4 linked regions of the Callithrix jacchus genome follow. The protein of the gene in region 1 binds, or shares a complex with, the protein of each later gene. Links are inferred from orthologs where the notes say so. Each region holds a gene or a part of one and is shown in the gene's direction. Other genes may lie near its edges. The genes, in order: POLA1, PRIM2, POLA2 and PRIM1.

Evidence for each region.
Region 2: the proteins of POLA1 (region 1) and PRIM2 are in contact, whole or in part, in a cryo-EM structure (PDB 8G9F), measured with the Xenopus laevis proteins. The link is inferred for Callithrix jacchus from reciprocal best matches to the Homo sapiens genes POLA1 and PRIM2. Residues at the interface, in NP_001082055.1 of Xenopus laevis: Leu842, Lys853, Ile894, Pro895, Glu896, Leu971, His974, Arg977, Glu978, Leu981, His982, Glu985, Gln988, Lys989, Asn991, Glu993, Asn1007, Asn1009, Arg1101, Asp1102, Glu1106, Gln1109, Glu1221, Asp1224, Gly1225, Asp1227, Ala1229, Leu1230, Met1233, Trp1234; in XP_018121015.1 of Xenopus laevis: Pro34, Pro35, Thr36, Glu37, Asn38, Ile39, Ser40, Leu41, Ile42, Phe44, Glu45, Ile49, Ile107, Phe110, Ile111, Leu114, Cys117, Gln118, Ser119, Glu120, Asp121, Arg123, Ala240, Arg241, Leu243, Val245, Val246, Gln247, Arg251, Leu252.
Region 3: the proteins of POLA1 (region 1) and POLA2 are in contact, whole or in part, in a cryo-EM structure (PDB 8G99), measured with the Xenopus laevis proteins. The link is inferred for Callithrix jacchus from reciprocal best matches to the Homo sapiens genes POLA1 and POLA2. Residues at the interface, in NP_001082055.1 of Xenopus laevis: Gln548, Lys551, His553, Gln554, Asn555, Phe642, Glu645, Val646, Gln649, Asn652, Leu673, Gly675, Arg676, Phe679, Lys1137, Asp1141, Pro1143, Asp1144, Ile1321, Gln1322, His1324, Asn1325, Lys1326, Leu1328, Leu1329, Arg1332, Ile1335, Lys1336, Tyr1338, Tyr1339; in XP_018112289.1 of Xenopus laevis: Met280, Tyr281, Lys282, Phe283, Met284, Phe285, Gln286, Lys287, Leu288, Met289, Ile291, Arg292, Val295, Ser296, Ile299, Glu314, Thr316, Leu320, Pro321, Gln323, Glu324, Thr325, Val326, Gln331, Gly333, Cys334, Asp335, Ser336, Asn337, Gly338.
Region 4: the proteins of POLA1 (region 1) and PRIM1 are in contact, whole or in part, in a cryo-EM structure (PDB 7OPL), measured with the Homo sapiens proteins. The link is inferred for Callithrix jacchus from reciprocal best matches to the Homo sapiens genes POLA1 and PRIM1. Residues at the interface, in NP_058633.2 of Homo sapiens: Tyr439, Ala440, Pro447, Glu448, Lys449, Ser450, Phe876, Thr877, Thr878, Gln880, Leu906; in NP_000937.1 of Homo sapiens: Asn92, Thr93, Val94, Lys95, Leu96, Gly97, Ala98.

The regions. Positions count from the first base shown.
Region 1 is NC_133524.1:25,472,985-25,476,546, forward strand, and holds part of POLA1 (DNA polymerase alpha catalytic subunit), read left to right. Parts: intron 1-377; coding exon 378-553; intron 554-2,351; coding exon 2,352-2,481; intron 2,482-2,971; coding exon 2,972-3,091; intron 3,092-3,562. UniProt on the Homo sapiens protein: Catalytic subunit of the DNA polymerase alpha complex (also known as the alpha DNA polymerase-primase complex) which plays an essential role in the initiation of DNA synthesis.
Region 2 is NC_133505.1:65,692,645-65,696,790, forward strand, and holds the start of PRIM2 (DNA primase large subunit), read left to right. Parts: upstream 1-1,302; 5' UTR 1,303-1,374; intron 1,375-2,111; 5' UTR 2,112-2,120; coding exon 2,121-2,274; intron 2,275-4,146. UniProt on the Homo sapiens protein: Regulatory subunit of the DNA primase complex and component of the DNA polymerase alpha complex (also known as the alpha DNA polymerase-primase complex) which play an essential role in the initiation of DNA synthesis.
Region 3 is NC_133511.1:122,375,419-122,378,980, forward strand, and holds part of POLA2 (DNA polymerase alpha subunit B), read left to right. Parts: intron 1-254; coding exon 255-379; intron 380-1,579; coding exon 1,580-1,618; intron 1,619-2,324; coding exon 2,325-2,398; intron 2,399-3,562. UniProt on the Homo sapiens protein: Accessory subunit of the DNA polymerase alpha complex (also known as the alpha DNA polymerase-primase complex) which plays an essential role in the initiation of DNA synthesis.
Region 4 is NC_133510.1:62,890,781-62,895,018, forward strand, and holds the start of PRIM1 (DNA primase small subunit), read left to right. Parts: upstream 1-1,379; 5' UTR 1,380-1,437; coding exon 1,438-1,540; intron 1,541-2,500; coding exon 2,501-2,658; intron 2,659-4,238. UniProt on the Homo sapiens protein: Catalytic subunit of the DNA primase complex and component of the DNA polymerase alpha complex (also known as the alpha DNA polymerase-primase complex - primosome/replisome) which play an essential role in the initiation of DNA synthesis.

The DNA.
Region 1 (3,562 bases):
CATCTTCTCAGTGAGGTCTGCCCCATTACCCTATTTAAGATGCAGTCTCCCCAAATTCCTTATGCCCCTACCCTGCTCTATTTTCCCATTTTCCATATACTTGTTACCTCCTAAAATGATATAATTTCTTGTTTATGGTATCTATTTTTTATTATACATTTCAAACGAGGCTAGGAGTCTTTTCTGTTTTGATCACTGCTGTATCCTGAGTGCCTAGAATAATGTCAGATATATAGTAAATGTTCAAAAATATTTGATTGATAAATGGGAGAATGAAAGTTTTATCATAATTTTGGGTCAGCTTTAAAATAGGTTAGAAAGAAATGTTGTCAGTGTCTGCTCTTTCATGAAATTTGCTTTTTGTTTCCATCTCATAGGGCCGGAGTGGATTTGGTGAAAGAAATGCTACCTGTGGTCGAATGATCTGTGATGTGGAAATTTCAGCAAGGGAATTGATTCGTTGTAAAAGCTACCATCTGTCCGAACTTGTTCAGCAGATTCTAAAAAAGGAAAGGGCTATAATCCCAATGGAAAATATACGAAATATGTACAGGTATGATCCTAGATTCTTCAGAATTCATCTGTCTTGAAATTAACAATAGCAGAACACCAGTACTATTCTTAGTCTGGAGAGGCATGAGCCAGTGGTGCTGTAGAGGGGAAATTGTCTTTGTCAGTGCTACCATCTCCACTGCTTTCATAATTTGAACTAGTTTAGCTCTTGAATTACTGTAATTGATCAGTTTATCTCTATCTCCCTCACCTGTGTTAACACTTTCTTAATGTTTCCTAACAGTAGTTTGGATTTAGATTTCTACTCTTAATTCGTTTATTCAGGAATTAGGGTAGATACTTTGGAAATGTAAAAACTGAGCAATCATTAAGTTATTTAGAGGTATCACTTGCTTATTTCTTCCTCCTACTCCTCTGGTCATCTCTCATTCGTTTGTTCCTGCTAGTTCTTTCTGAGTCCTTCCTTTGACTTCTTTTCTGACTTTGCTTCCTCTCTGGGTGATCATAGGGAGTCTTAGGAATTTAAATATCATGTGGATGCCTATGCCTCCCACCTGTGTATCTTCAGGTTAGACCTCCCTAAATTCTAGAATCAATGTATCTACTTACCTATTTTACTTGATACCTAATGTGAACTCCCAGCTTGTTCAAAACTGAGCTCTAATCTTCTATCCTAGGTTCTTCCTGTAGTCTTTCCTTACTAAATTAGTAAGCGTATTTTTCCGTTATCACTGGACACTTCAGAGTTTTACTTAGCCCAAAATCTCTGTGGCACCTTTGGTTCCTCTCTCTCATATCCCACAGTAGATGTATGAGGGAATCCTGTCAGTTTTATCTTCTAAATATCTCGAAGTCTGACCACTTCTTTCCGATTCTGTTGAACCCATCCTGTCCAAGCCACTATCCTTTTTCCCCTGGATTACTGGGTTTATATGCCTGTCCCCTTCCTTTTGCCCTTACCCCTTTATAATCGGTTCTCAATCCAGAACCAGAGTTATGCTAAAATCAAGTCAGATGTGTCCAGAATCTTCCAGTGACTCTTTGTTTCATTCAGAGTAAGAAGTGAAGTTCTTGTTTTTACTTATAAGCTCCATACAGTGTGTCTCTATGCCATTAACTCTGTCCTTATCTCCTGCTACTCTTTCCATTATTCTCTCTGACCCAGTCATATGGCCTCTTTCCTAGTCCTGGAACTGCCAGATTTGCATGCAGCTCAGGGCTTTTGAGTGTGCTGTCCTGTCTGCGTGGAGTGCTCTTTCCATAAGGCTTGTTCCCTTACCTCTTCCAGATGTTTATTCTCAGTGAAATCTTCCACTGTTTCCTAATAAAAATTTCGGTCTCTGCTTCCGATACTTAATATTCCCATTGCTTAACTTTTAAAGTTATGTAACATACTATATACATAATTTCTTTTTCTTTTTTATACTCTGTCTCCCCCATGAGGACATAAGCTCCAGGAGGATAGGAAGTTTTGTTTGTTTTGGTCACAGCCAACTCCTGGCACATAGTAAGCATGCAATATATACTCACTGGATGGAATGAATGAAAGGATTTAGATAGTTTTCAGGCTTGTAGTTATTATATTACTTCAGTTTTTCTTTATGGGATTGTGTGTGTGTGTGTGTGAGTGTGTGTGTGTGTGTGAGAAAGGCTTTGGGATCAATGGTATGAATGAATTCCTAGTTACATACTGACCTTAATTTGTTTCTGAAGCCAAGATGCTGTTGCTCTGAATTTACTTACACCCAAAATTCCTTGTAATAGTTTATGAAGTTATGATTATGGGCATTGTTTCTTTTAATTATTTGATTCTGTTTCATTCTTACTTTTCTGTACAGTGACTCTTCCCAACTGTTATACCTGTTGGAACACACCTGGAAAGATGCCAACTTCATTTTGCAGATCATGTGTGAGCTGAATGTTCTTCCATTAGCATTGCAGATCACTAACATCGCTGGGAACATTATGGTAAATTTAACTTAGAAAGGGGGAAAAAGCATTTCCTGTTGGATTCAGTGTTTGCTTGGGGTAGTTGTTATATGATAATGAGTCTAAATGCATGCTTATAAAATGAGTAACTTGGATTCTGAGAGCTGGACTTCTTTTGTAAAGGAAGAACTGGTTGGGAGAAGGGGAGGAATGCCAGGTGCAGTGTGTTGAAATTTGGACGAACATAAGGATCATCTCTCTAACATCTGGATGTGTCTGTTTGGTGGAATGGTCCATTTGGGAGTAAATAGCCAAGTTGTCAATATTTTAAGCTCTCTTTGTCTCCTTTAACTGTAATGCTCAATGAAAATGTTAGGAATAATTTAGTACTTTTTTTTTTTTTTTTAAAGCAGCCTGTTGTTAGGAATGGTTTTGAAGGAGGTGATGTGACTAAACTTAACTGACTCAAAGTTGCTTTTGTTAGTTGTGGTTTTGAGCTCAAATTTTAAAAAGAGATTCCATTTAATAGTCCAGGACACTGATGGGTGGACGATCCGAGCGTAACGAGTTCTTGTTGCTTCATGCATTTTATGAAAACAACTATATTGTGCCTGACAAGCAGATTTTCCGAAAGCCTCAGCAAAAACTGGTGGGTCCAAAGCTGTGTAGTATTTTGTTTCCTCTTATCCCTTACTTTTTATTACCTAGATAGCCTTTTTTTCTGTGATGACATCTGCTTTCAAAATAGCAAATCCCTTGTGTACTGTAGAAACCGTGTCAAGTTTATTCCCTTGTATTTGTGTCATTTCCTTATCCACTTTTCTCTTTGCAGACAAAATTTGTGAAACATGAAATTCTCTGAGGGAAGCATTAGACCTCTCTGATGGGTGACCATACATGGAATGTGTTTTGGCACCTTAGCCCTACCCAAAGTTAAATGCCAGTTAAACCTTTTATTTTCTTGAACCTATGAGCCTTTATTATTGTGTTGCATTTTTCTATACTAGTATGATCAAGGTCACCCACAATTAGGTTTCTGAAATAGCCTCCATCACTTTAGAACTAAAACTTAGTTTAGCTACTGTTTTATTAGCACTGATATGAATTGATGCAGAAATGG
Region 2 (4,146 bases), on another chromosome or scaffold:
AGAGGTTGCAGTGAGGTGAGATCGCGACACTGCACTCTATCTTGGGCGACAGAACAAGAATCTGTCGCGCGGGGGTGGGGGTGGGGGTAAATAATCTACCTTATATAGTTATGAGAATAAAATGAGTTGATATGTAAACCACTTAGAACGGGTCCTGGTATAAAGTCAGTGCCAGCTACAGTTTAGTCTAGGCTGGGTAGGTGCTTTGAAGCTTGATATTGTTTTAATATACTCTGCATTTCTAAAAACGTGAACATTTCAAAGCGTTTATTTGATCTCCAAAGGACTACGGTTACCAGAACCTCATCCCAGCACATTTGTAAGCGAGACACGCCTCCCAGAGGCCACGAGTGAAGTTAATTCCAGTTCTCGAAAATCTTGCAGACAGCAGAGAACTGGGGTGGCTCTGACCCGCAGCTTGGGAGTCTGCAGTCCGACATCTGGAAAGTAAGCGGCAGGTCCACTTCATCTCCAGCGGCTCCGCTTCTTCCACCCTACCTTCCCTCTGAGGCTGGGCTCTGCTAATTGCTGTAGACTGCAGAATGATTTCTGCGAATGTGCATTCTTTCATTCATTCGAGTTCATTCCACAGATAATTCAGCTGAGCGCTTACTCTGTGCGAGGCATTGCCGGGGAGCGGGGAAGTGAACTGAATGTGGAACCTGACAGTAAAGGGCTTGCGCCCAATAGGAAATTCAAAATGCGCATTGTACGTAGATGGGCAAACTAACGATGATCTTGTAGTTTCTGTTTCCTCACGTGCCAAATGGGGGTAATACAACATTATAGGGCTTTATCGGTCTGTGAAAGATTAGAGAAAAAAAAAAAAAAAAAAAAAAAAAAAAAAAAAAAAGAGCCCCTAATCGTCAGCTAGGTGCAAAAAGGATCCTAATGCCTGTTTTCGTCATTCCTCCCCCGATTGAAAGTGATGAGTGCCAGCCCTGCAAGTTAAAGCGCCATATTTTCCTCATTTTACGGAGTGTTTGTTTGGTGTCTCCAAACGAAGTTATATTGGTTTAATTTTCGGCATATGCGAATTTTCCTCGCTGGCTAGCATTCAGCATCCTAGTTTCAACCGTTAAAAGCGGCTGACTCCACATACAGGAAGTACATCTAAAAAAAAAATCCCCAAAACACTGATATCCAAAAATTTTAAAGCTGGCAAAGTGGATGAAACACATTGAATTCCCAGACGCGCTTCACTGAGCATGCGCAAAGCCCAAGGCCCAACCCCCTCCAATCCGCCAACGGGAAGTGGGGGAGGGCGGGCCTTCTGCGCTAGTCACTTCCGCCTCCGGTTTCATATGAACTCTCCCGCCACCCGGGAACAGTGGCTGTCAGAGTTTGTGTTTTCCGGAGATTGAATTCTTGCAGGTAAGGGAAACTCCCGCGAATTTAGGACAGAGAGCAATCTTATTGTTGAGGCTTGCAAGTCGAGAGAAAGGAGAAATCCATCACTTTGCAGGCAGCAGGAGCAGGACAGACTTGGCGGGTTCGGAGTATTGGATATTGGTTGGTTGGTTGGGGCAGGCACCTAGGTGCCAGAGAGGAGTTGAGGGGAGATAGGTTTGCCCGTGGAGTGGCGCGGGGGGTTGGGGATGGAATTTTTATAAGGCACTTGTGGATGCTCCCTAAAAGGAGTTCTGAAAGACCGTTGTTGTTTCCCAAAGTCATAGGAAGTAACTGGACCCAGTCCATCAAATAAGAACCTCATTTAGCCAGAACCTACGGCAGTTTCCTCTTGAGCTCAGAATTGCAGACCACTAAAACTTTATTTTAACTCTTGTGATCCCAAAGTGACACACAGGCCTATAATGAGCAGGCATCACCTGACTTTCATGTTGATGAAAATTAGGTTCACCACCTGCATCTCCTCTAGCACTTCTTCCACCCCCATTACAAAATTATTATAGGTGTATTGTAGAAAATCTGGAAAATACAGAAGGATATCATCCAGGAGTTGCCACTGTTAACGTTTTGTGCATGCCTTCAACTCCATTTTTTTCCCCTGTGTTTGTGAAATTAGATTTTTGTGCTTTTTTTTGTTGTTGTTGTTTTCTTTTCAACTTTATTTTCCATCATTTTATGCTTTTTATGTGCTTCCTTCTAAGGAGACCAAGATGGAGTTTACTGGAAAACTGCGGAGGATGCCGTGGTTGGCGGGTGACCAGAGAAATGCTTCCTACCCTCATTGCCTTCAGTTTTACTTGCAGCCGCCTTCTGAAAACATATCTTTAATAGAATTTGAAAACTTGGCTATTGATAGAGTTAAATGTAAGTGATACTTAAACTAGAATGTATATATTCTTGAGAAGCTCACTTACCCTTTGTGATAATGAATGAAAGTAATTCCTTCGTTCAGCAATCCATTCAACAAATATTTATTGAGGTTTTGGAACTCAGTCATTATTTATTGTACAATGCATATTATTGAGTGCCGCTGTGTTCTAAGTGGCAGGGATTTTGAGATGAATAACATAATTTTTTGTGGAAGCTATATTCTAGTACATGGACACAGACATCCAAAATAATAGTCATAAATCAGTATTTTAACTGCTCTAGTAGAAGTTAATGGTAGTGCTGTTGAAACAAAGAAGTGAGAGTGACTGACTTAGTCTGATTAAGTAAGGCTTCTTAGAGATGTTGAAATGCGATCTGGACCTTGAAGAATGAGTAGAAATTTTCCAGCAGAGAAGTGAAGAGTTTTTCCAAGCTGAGATAATGGCCTATGCAAACATTTGGAGCATGAAAGAGAATTTGTTATTTGAGATAACAGTTACAAGTACAGGAGTTTAGGGTGGATGGAGAAGTATGGATAACAGAGGGCATTTTGTGCCATGCTAATCATGTAATAATGAGGTGTAAGAAGGATATGGCCATTGTCCTGGGGGCCTACTTATCCTCAGTGTGTTGCTAGAGGAAAGAATGGGTTAGACATGAACTGAAGCAGAAACACTAGCATTGTCTTCAGAGTTTATGTTCCAGGATATCCTTGTGGGAAAATCAGAAGGAAAGGTAAGATACTGTTAATCATTCTTAGAGGAGCATGATAAGCAATGCTAATACAGAGAGGAGGCACTCCTCAGTACCTGTGTGTTGAGTGAAAGAATAAAGACAAGGGAGAAAAGAGTTTTAGAAAGCTTAGCAGTGTCAGATCCTTCAGAGGGATTAAGATGGTGATTGAAAAGTGTCCCTTGAGTTTGGCTCTTGAGGTGAAATGATAAGGGTGTGAACTACAGCAGCGACAATGGCAGTGATAGGAAGGGAGAGATATAAGGGATGCTGAGGAGGGGCATTGATAGGATTTGGTGACTGGACATGAGAAATGAGGGAGCAGGTGTGGAGTGGCTGAAGTTCCCGTTTGGATGATCTGATGCAGAGAAAGTCTGCTGGTGGAGATGGGCATGGCAGGAAGAGGAGTAGGAATGAGGGAAGGATAATTAAATTTGGATAACATGATAAGGAGGTACCTGTGGGACATGGGTTTATGTTCAGGAGACAATTAGATGTTTTTAGTTCTTGACTTCACAAATGCCTCCAGATAATAATTCATCTGAGGAACGATTGATAAGGGGCTTTAGGAACCTTTGAACAATATGTAGCATCTGTTCAGGATGGTTCATTTGGCTGATTGGATGGCCTTTCTTCTTCACTGTTGTGCCCTGCCCTTGGCTTCATCGGGAAAGGAAGGGCTGCTTTTTTTCTGATGAATCTATGCTGAGTAAATGAAGCCAACTGCCGAACAGGCAGCTACATATGAAGGATGCAAACAAGGAGTGCTTAGAATTTTTTTTTTTCCATATTGATATACTTTTCTGTTCCTCAGCAACAGTGGCTCCGTATAGGAATGATTATTCACCATCCATCCTCTTCCCTTATTGAGAATCCCTGGTATTAGATTATGCTGTGGGACATGGATATTTTTTGCATGTAGATGGACATTTTCCTCTTATAAGCATGTGTAGTTTATATAATGTAGTTACAGGAAATAAACTGGCAATTACTTGTCATGTTCTGTAAATAGGTAATTGTGGAATTGCCCTCCATAGATTTGGTCTTGGATTTAGTTTTAAAACAATATCTTAGGCTGGGTGCGGTGGCTCATACCTGTAATCCCAGCACTTTGGGAGGCCAAGGCTGGCAGTT
Region 3 (3,562 bases), on another chromosome or scaffold:
TCATGTGCACCGCTCATAAAGTGCCAACTGCGTGTTCCAAGTATTAGCAAACCTGCCTGTCTCTGCCTCTACCACCTAGTGGAGTGTTCTTGGAGGATGGACATGAGGTCTTCCTCACCTTGGGTCCCCAGACTTGCACACATAAAGGACTCAATGAGTTCACCCCTGTGGCATTTTCCCCTAATTGTCCTTTCTCCTCCCACCACTCTAATGCCAGTCCTCTTCTAATCAAGACCCACAATCCTCTGTCTTAGACTTTGAGCAAACCATGGTGCTGGTTGCCTGTGGGCCATACACCACATCTGACAGCATCACATATGACCCCCTCCTCGACCTGATTGCCGTCATCAACCACGACCGGCCAGATGTCTGCATCCTGGTAAGACGCACCAGTGGGAAAGCTGAGGAGATGGCCTTGGAAAACAGTTTTAATGCAGCTCTAAATTTTTAGGAAGCATGTCAGTTCCTCCTCCTTTTAGAAAATATCTTTTCATTTGTTATGTCTTTGGAGAGGTATACATGATCTATAGGCCTTCGCTAAATTGAAAAACCCAACTTTGGCTGCACGCAGTGGCTGACGCCTGTAATCCTAGCACTTTGGGAGGCTGAGGTAGGAGGATCACTTGAGGGGGGCAGGAGTTCTAAATCAGCTTGGCCAACATAGTGAAACCCTGTCTCTACTAAAAATACAGAAAAATTAGCCAGGTATGGTGCAGGCACCTGTACTCCCGGCTACTTGGTAGGCCGAGGCAAGAGAATCGCTTGAACCTGGAAGGTGGAGGTTGCAGTGAGCCAAGATTGCACTACTGCCCTCCAGCCTGAGCAACAGAGCAAGACTCCATCTCAAAAAATAATAAGAAGAAGAAGAAATAAAAGGTGAACTTTTTTTTTTACCGCCCTTCATTGATTTTACAGTATTCTTACCTCTTTCTCATTACTCCAACTTCTGGACTAATCTCTTTTTAAAGCTCAAAATACTGTTAGTATGGTGGTCAATTTCTTTTGCTAGGTTTAGAAAGTCAGAAAAAAGTCCAGTGTGGCTTTTTTTGAGGCAGAGCAAGACTGTCGCCTAGGCTGGAGTGCAGTGGCGCATTCTCAGCTCACTGCAGCCTCCATCTCTTGGGCTCAAGTGATCCTACCCTATCCTCCCTGCCTCAGTCTTCCCAATAGCTTGAACTACAGGCACATGCCACCATTTCTAATTTTTGTATTTTTTGTAGAGACAGGATTTCACTATATTGCCCAGGCTGGTCTTGAACTCCTGGGCTCAGGCAGTCTGCCCGTCTCAGCCTCCCAAAGTGCTAGAATTACAGGCGTGAACCCAATGTTATAGGGGACAATAGTGCTGGTTATGGGGCCCTGGGAGCCGCCCTCCATCCGGGGCATACATGCTCCTGCCTGTGAAATTGGCTTGGTGCCCCTGCCAGCCCATCTGCTAGCTGTCCCAGGCTCTACAGGCAGCCTTGGAGGGATACATGGGCCCTGGGCAGAGAACTGTCAGAAGAGCTGAGCTGAAGTCATTCACAGACACATGTGATTCTGATGTGTTCTTTTGATGTCTTTGTTTCTCCCCTTGCAGTTTGGCCCTTTCCTGGATGCTAAGCATGAGCAAGTGGAGGTGAGTGACTCAGGCTGGGGCAGGAAGGGCTCCTAGGTACTTGCATTCAGTCAGGCTCTCACTTTTCATTTTTTAGTGTTTATCCCACATCTGTAACAAACACATTAATTCCTGTGGCTAATCAGAAAATCATTTTAGCAGGGCACTTTATTAATAAAGACCTTGAATCCCAGGGCTTTCTTTCACTGGAATATAAGGCTGTCTGGAAGCTAGGGGAGGGACATATAAATATATCAGTACCAATGTTCCTTTGTTTGTGATGCCTGGTGCTAAGGCACAAGAGCGCTTGCACAAATGCAGGTGCTAAGTCATGGGCTGCCCTGTGAAAGTACCTATCCTCGCTGATACCCCAGGCTTATAACTCATATCTTGCTGTCCTTTGCATAAAACACGAATGGGCCTTGGTGGGACATCTCCATGGCTGACGTCTAGAACCTCTGATCCTTTGTCTCATGATATTTTACGTTCCACGGAAAATATTTCAAAGTACTCTTCCTTTTAGTCTCTCAGATTGCATTCAAGAGGATTAATTCCCACATCTCCTCTCCTGCCTTTGACCAAACTTAGCTCCTTAAGACAAAGACCACATCTTTTTCTTTGCGTCTCCTTCAGCTCGTAGCACAACAGCTGGCACCTAACAATGTTACACAAGTGAATAAACACCAAACATCTGCCTTCTAAATCTATCTCCTTTCCTTTCTTGCAGAACTGTCTACTGACAAGTCCATTTGAAGATGTTTTCAAGCAGTGTCTACGAACAATTATTGAAGGCACAAGAAGGTCAGAATTCAAAATACTGGACAGAACCTTAAGCTTCCTAGGTTTCTCCAGAGCTTCCCATTAAGAAACTGAAACTGTTTAAAAGTCATGGCTGGGCCAGGCACAGTGGCTCATGCCTACAATCTCAGCACTTTGGGAGGCCGAGGTGGGTGCATCACCTGAGGTTAGGAGTTCAAGACCAGCCTGGCCAACTTGGTGAAATCCTGTCTCTACTAAAAATACAAAATTAGCCAGGCGTGGTGGTGGGCACCTGTAATCCCAGCTACTTGGGAGTCAGAGGCAGAAGAATCACTTGAACCCAAGAGGCAGAGATTGCAGTGAGCCAAGATTATACCATTGTACTCCAGCTTAGGCAAAAAGCAACACTCTGTCTCAAAAAAAAAAAAAAAAAAAAAAAAAGAAGCTGGGCACAGTAGCTCACACTTGTAGTCCCAGCACTTTGGGAGGCTGAGGCAGGCGGATCTCCTAAGGTCAGGAGTTCAAGACCTGCCTGACCAACATGTGAAATCCCATCTCTACTAAAAATACAAAATTAGCCAGGCATGGTGGTGCATCTCTGTAATCTCAGCTTCTTGGGAGGCTCAGGCAGGAGAGTCACTTGAACCCAGGAGGCGGAGGTTGTAGCAAGCCGAGATCACGCCATTGCACTCCAGCCTGGCAACAAGAGTGAAACTCTGTCTCAAAAAAAAAAGATCATGGCACTTCCTATTCTTTTCTTCTTTTTGAACTACTGAGATCAGATAGAACTCTTGAACTTCAAGTGTGGACACCAAATTAAGCGGCATTTTTGTAAAACGCAAAGATAAACGTACTTGAAAGGACAAGGTTTCACTCTTCCATTGCTCTTCTTCTTCTAGACTTAGTTCCTTTTCTCACTCCCTCTTGTATAAACTAATATTCCACGGGAATCTTCCCAGGGTGGTTTTCAGAAGTGTTTGGTGACTTACACAGTGAAATCCTGTGAGACCCAAAACATCTGGTTGTGTAGGCAATTGTTTTGGGTGAGCCCAAGTTCCTCCCAAGTCACTGCTTCCCCAGGGTACATAGGACACCACCAGAGGCTAGAGCCAGTGGTGGCAGAAACTCTCAGTGAGGGTGGGGCCTTGAATCCTTGCCATAGACCAAACAGAAGGAACTGTGAGAAGTCACAGCAGTGAAGCGAGA
Region 4 (4,238 bases), on another chromosome or scaffold:
GATGAGCACATCAATAGCAAATGGGTTCCCTTCATACTTGTAAAGCTCTCCCTGATGCTGCAAGCTTTCTATAATTCATATTTTCATATACCTGGGTGTTCTGTTTGAGAGATTGAATATATGAACAGTGACCAGATCATGTATAAAAACAGAACTCTGACCCACAATCTCCAACCTGCCAGGGAAACCAACCCCCTTATCTATAATAAACAGCACAGGAAGCAAGCCTGCTACAAGTCAGACTTGTAGAAAGTCAGACTGCTAACTCTTGTGATGATCCTAGAGGCCAAACAGCAACCCCTGAAGCAATGGGCCCAAAATGCTGTAATATCTTACAGCTTCCTTAATTTCATCATAGCTTCCAACATAGGTCCAACCAACCAAAGCCAAACATGCACCCCTAAACCAATCACATACCACATCCTACTTCAAGTTTGCCCACGTACAGACTCTCCAAGCAAACAGCCTCCAATTAAAGAATACCCTGATGGATTCCTTTTTCCCAGTATAAAGCTTTCCTACTACTCTGCCTGCCTTTGAGTTCCTACCAAATGCAAATGATGGTGACTGACTCGCTTGCTATAGTAAGGTCTGAATAAATAGCCTATGCTTTTCTTATCTGGTTGATATTTGTTTATTTCCACATATTGGAGCTAGTAATCCATGAAATTCCATGAATAACTAATTTCCAAAACTTTTTCTTTTTTCTAGACGCGGTCCCCTCTGCTGCCCAGGCTGGAGTGCAGTGGCACGATCGTGGTGTACCACAGCCTTGACCTCCCAGACTGAAGCCATTGATCCCCCACAACTTCAGCCTCTGGGGTAGTTGGGACTACAGGCGCACACAACTACACCTGGCTAGGGGTGTGTGTGTGTGTGTGTGTGTGTGTGTGACGGATCTCACAATATTGCCCAGACCGGTGTGGCCTCAAGCAATCCTCCTGCCTTGGCCTAAGTGCTGAGGTTACAGTTATGAGCCACCGTGCCAGCCTCCAAAACTTTTTAAAAGATACTGGTGTTATTTCTAAAACATCCAAAAAGTTGATTTATATTATTAAGATGAAGTAAAAAGAATGCCCCACGCATCTTCATCTTAATAACCTAAATCCTAATAACTTAAATCTAAATCTAAAACTTCATCTTAATAACCTAAATCAACATGTTACAGGTCTCACATTTCCGGAGAAGATCCTCTTCCTGGAATGCACGCGGCCTTCTACCCACAAGAGCGGTGGCCCTAGTGCCCGAGCGCGTAGGCAGAGCGTCAACTACTGCGGCTCGCGCAGGCCCCGCCCACACCACGTGAGAACTACAATTCCCGGCGGCCCCCGCAGAAGGCGGGCCGCGGCCCTAAGCGCCTGCGCAGTAGCGGGGCCGCCGGCTGTGCTGTTCCCGCCAATTCTTGTGGTAGCCCTGCTGGGTTGAGTTCCGCGCTCCATGGAGACGTTTGACCCCACCGAGCTGCCCGAGCTGCTTAAACTTTATTACCGGAGGCTCTTTCCCTACTCTCAGTACTATCGCTGGCTCAACTACGGCGGAGGTGATGGAGGCGGGGAATGGGGTCAGGAATAGATTGTGAGGAGGTTGGAGGCGGGGTGTCCTTAGAATGACCATGTGAAGCGCCGTCAGTGTGCCTGGCTTTGTGCCGCGGGCCTTCTTATGCTCTCTCGAGCCCGCCCCACCACTTCCTAGGTATAAATGGGCCGAGACAGAATGTAATGACCAGCCTGCGGCCACATGGTAAAAAAAACCGAACCGCCGCTCCTACCTCTGCGTGGCCAGGCCCACATTAGGTACCCTGTTTACTTGCTGCGGTGCCCAGGGGGTTACTAGGGCGTATCTGCAGAGGCCTGCTTTGCATCAGGAGCGGAAGAGCCTCTCAGAGGAGTAGAGATAGTTTCTTCCTTGCAGCTGAATTTATTAGTGCAAATCGAGGAGAGAGGGGTGGCATTACATATTTAAAGTATTTCCGCATCTGTTTCGTCTTTTGGACCTTTCCCTAGCAAATGTGGAAGGGTAACTGCTTTGAAATTAGGGACTAGGTCTTGTGGGGTAGTTTGTGTCTTTGTTTTTACGTCTACCACAGTGTTAAGCATAGGGGGCTCATTACAAATGTCTCTGGCTGGGTGCTGTGGCTCAGGCCTGTAATCCGAGCACTTTGGGAAGCCAAGGAGGACGGATTACCTGAGGTCAGGGGGAGACCAGCCCGGCCAACATGGTGAAACCCCGTATCTACAAAAAATGCAAAAATTATCTGGGCGTGGTGGCACGCGTGCCTGTAGTCCCAGCTACTCAGAAGGTTGAGGTGGGAGGATCGCTTGAACCCGGTAGGTGGAGGTTGAAGTGAGCCTAGATCCCACTACACTCCAGTTTGGGCGACAAAGCAAGAAGCGAGACTCCCTCTCCAAAAAAAAAAAAACACTTCTCATTGGCTAAAGTTATAATGTCCCGAGCCAAATAAAATAGCAAATTAACTTTAAAATGTACGTTTATTTTCCAGTGATAAAGAATTACTTTCAACACCGTGAATTTTCATTCACATTGAAAGATGATATTTACGTTCGCTACCAGTCCTTCAACAACCAGAGTGATCTGGAAAAGGAGATGCAGAAAATGAATCCATACAAGATTGATATAGGCGCAGTATACTCCCACAGAGTAAGATCTCTTTTTTTTAACGTATTTTGTTGTTTTATTTTGGAAACCGAGAATGGGTTGGTTCCTCTAGCATTTTGAGATTAAATTTTTAGAGTTTATTCTAGATGAAAAGCCACTTTTTAATTGGCAAGTAGATTAATCCTTTTTTGTTCTTCGGCATTTTACATTGCTGATGAAATCGTTTGAGAGTGAATTGGTTGCATTCTTACTAGGACGGAAAACTTGAGTATCTTGCTACTAGGAAGAGGAAGTCAACATGATTTAAAACAGGAGGCGGGGGGGGGGGGGGGGGGGGGGGGGCAGTGGCTCACACCGGTAATCTCAGCACTTTGGGAGGCTGAGATGGGCAGATCACCTGAGGTAGGTCAGGAGTTCGAGACTAGCCTGGCCAACATGGTGAAATTCTGTCTCTACCAAAAATGCAAAAATTAGCTGGGTGTAATTGCGGGGACCTGTAATCCCAGCTACTCAGGAGGCTGAGGCAGGAGAATCTCTTGAACTTGGGAGGCGGAGGTTGCAGTGAGCCAAGATCATCATACCACTGCACTCCAGCCTGGGCAACAAGAGCAAAACTGTCACAAAAAGAAAAAAAAGGGGATGGGGGGGAAATAAAAGAGAATTACATTCTCTCCCACCATGGAAATTATTCTTTTTTTCTTTTAATTATTTATTTTTACTTAGGTCAAATATACATAAAAAAATTTACCATCTTTACCATGTTTAAATGTACAGTTCATTCATAGTAAATATTTATATTATTTTTCCTTCATACCCCTGGAATTATTCTTGACTCCTCTCTTTCTCACACTCCCATACCCATTCTGTTAGGAAATCCCTGTGGCAATACCATATGTATATCTAAAATTCAGCCATTACTACCAGTGCTACCAACATTATCATCTCATCTGAATTACTATAAAAACCTCCTCAGAGTTTACCCTTGTAGAATCTAGAATTCATTCTCAATACAGAAGCCAGAATGATCCTTTTAAAACAACTAAGATTCTGTAATTCCTCTACACAAAACATTCTCTGGTGGCTGCTCATTTCACTGACTAAAAGTCACTCACTTCTCTCCCCCTCACTCACTTCATTTCTGCCACACTGACCCTTGCTCAAGCTGTTTCCACTGCCTAGAACCCGTTTCTACAGGTATCTACTTGGTTCATCTCCTCACCTCCTTCAAATCTTTACTCAAATAGCACCTCCAAACCTACCACTCTCCCACCCCCGCCACTGATATATACTAAGTGCCTGTAAGAGTGCCTAGCAAGAGAGAGTACACCATAAATATATGTTGAGTGAATGAACAAACCAAAATTGCCCCTCTTCCCCTTCTCAAATAAACATACTGGTAAGTGGAGAGAATATATACATAGCATAATAGCTTTTATGTGGAGTTTTTCATGTTATTTAACTTGTTCTTTATATTAATCCTCATTCTTTTTTACAAAGCAGAAAACAGGCCCAGAGAACTTGAATAGTTTGTCCAAGCTCACACACAATTTCTAAATGATAGAGCTGGGACTTAAACCCAAATACTTTTGCTAACTAATATTGCTACATCAAGCTTTTTAATT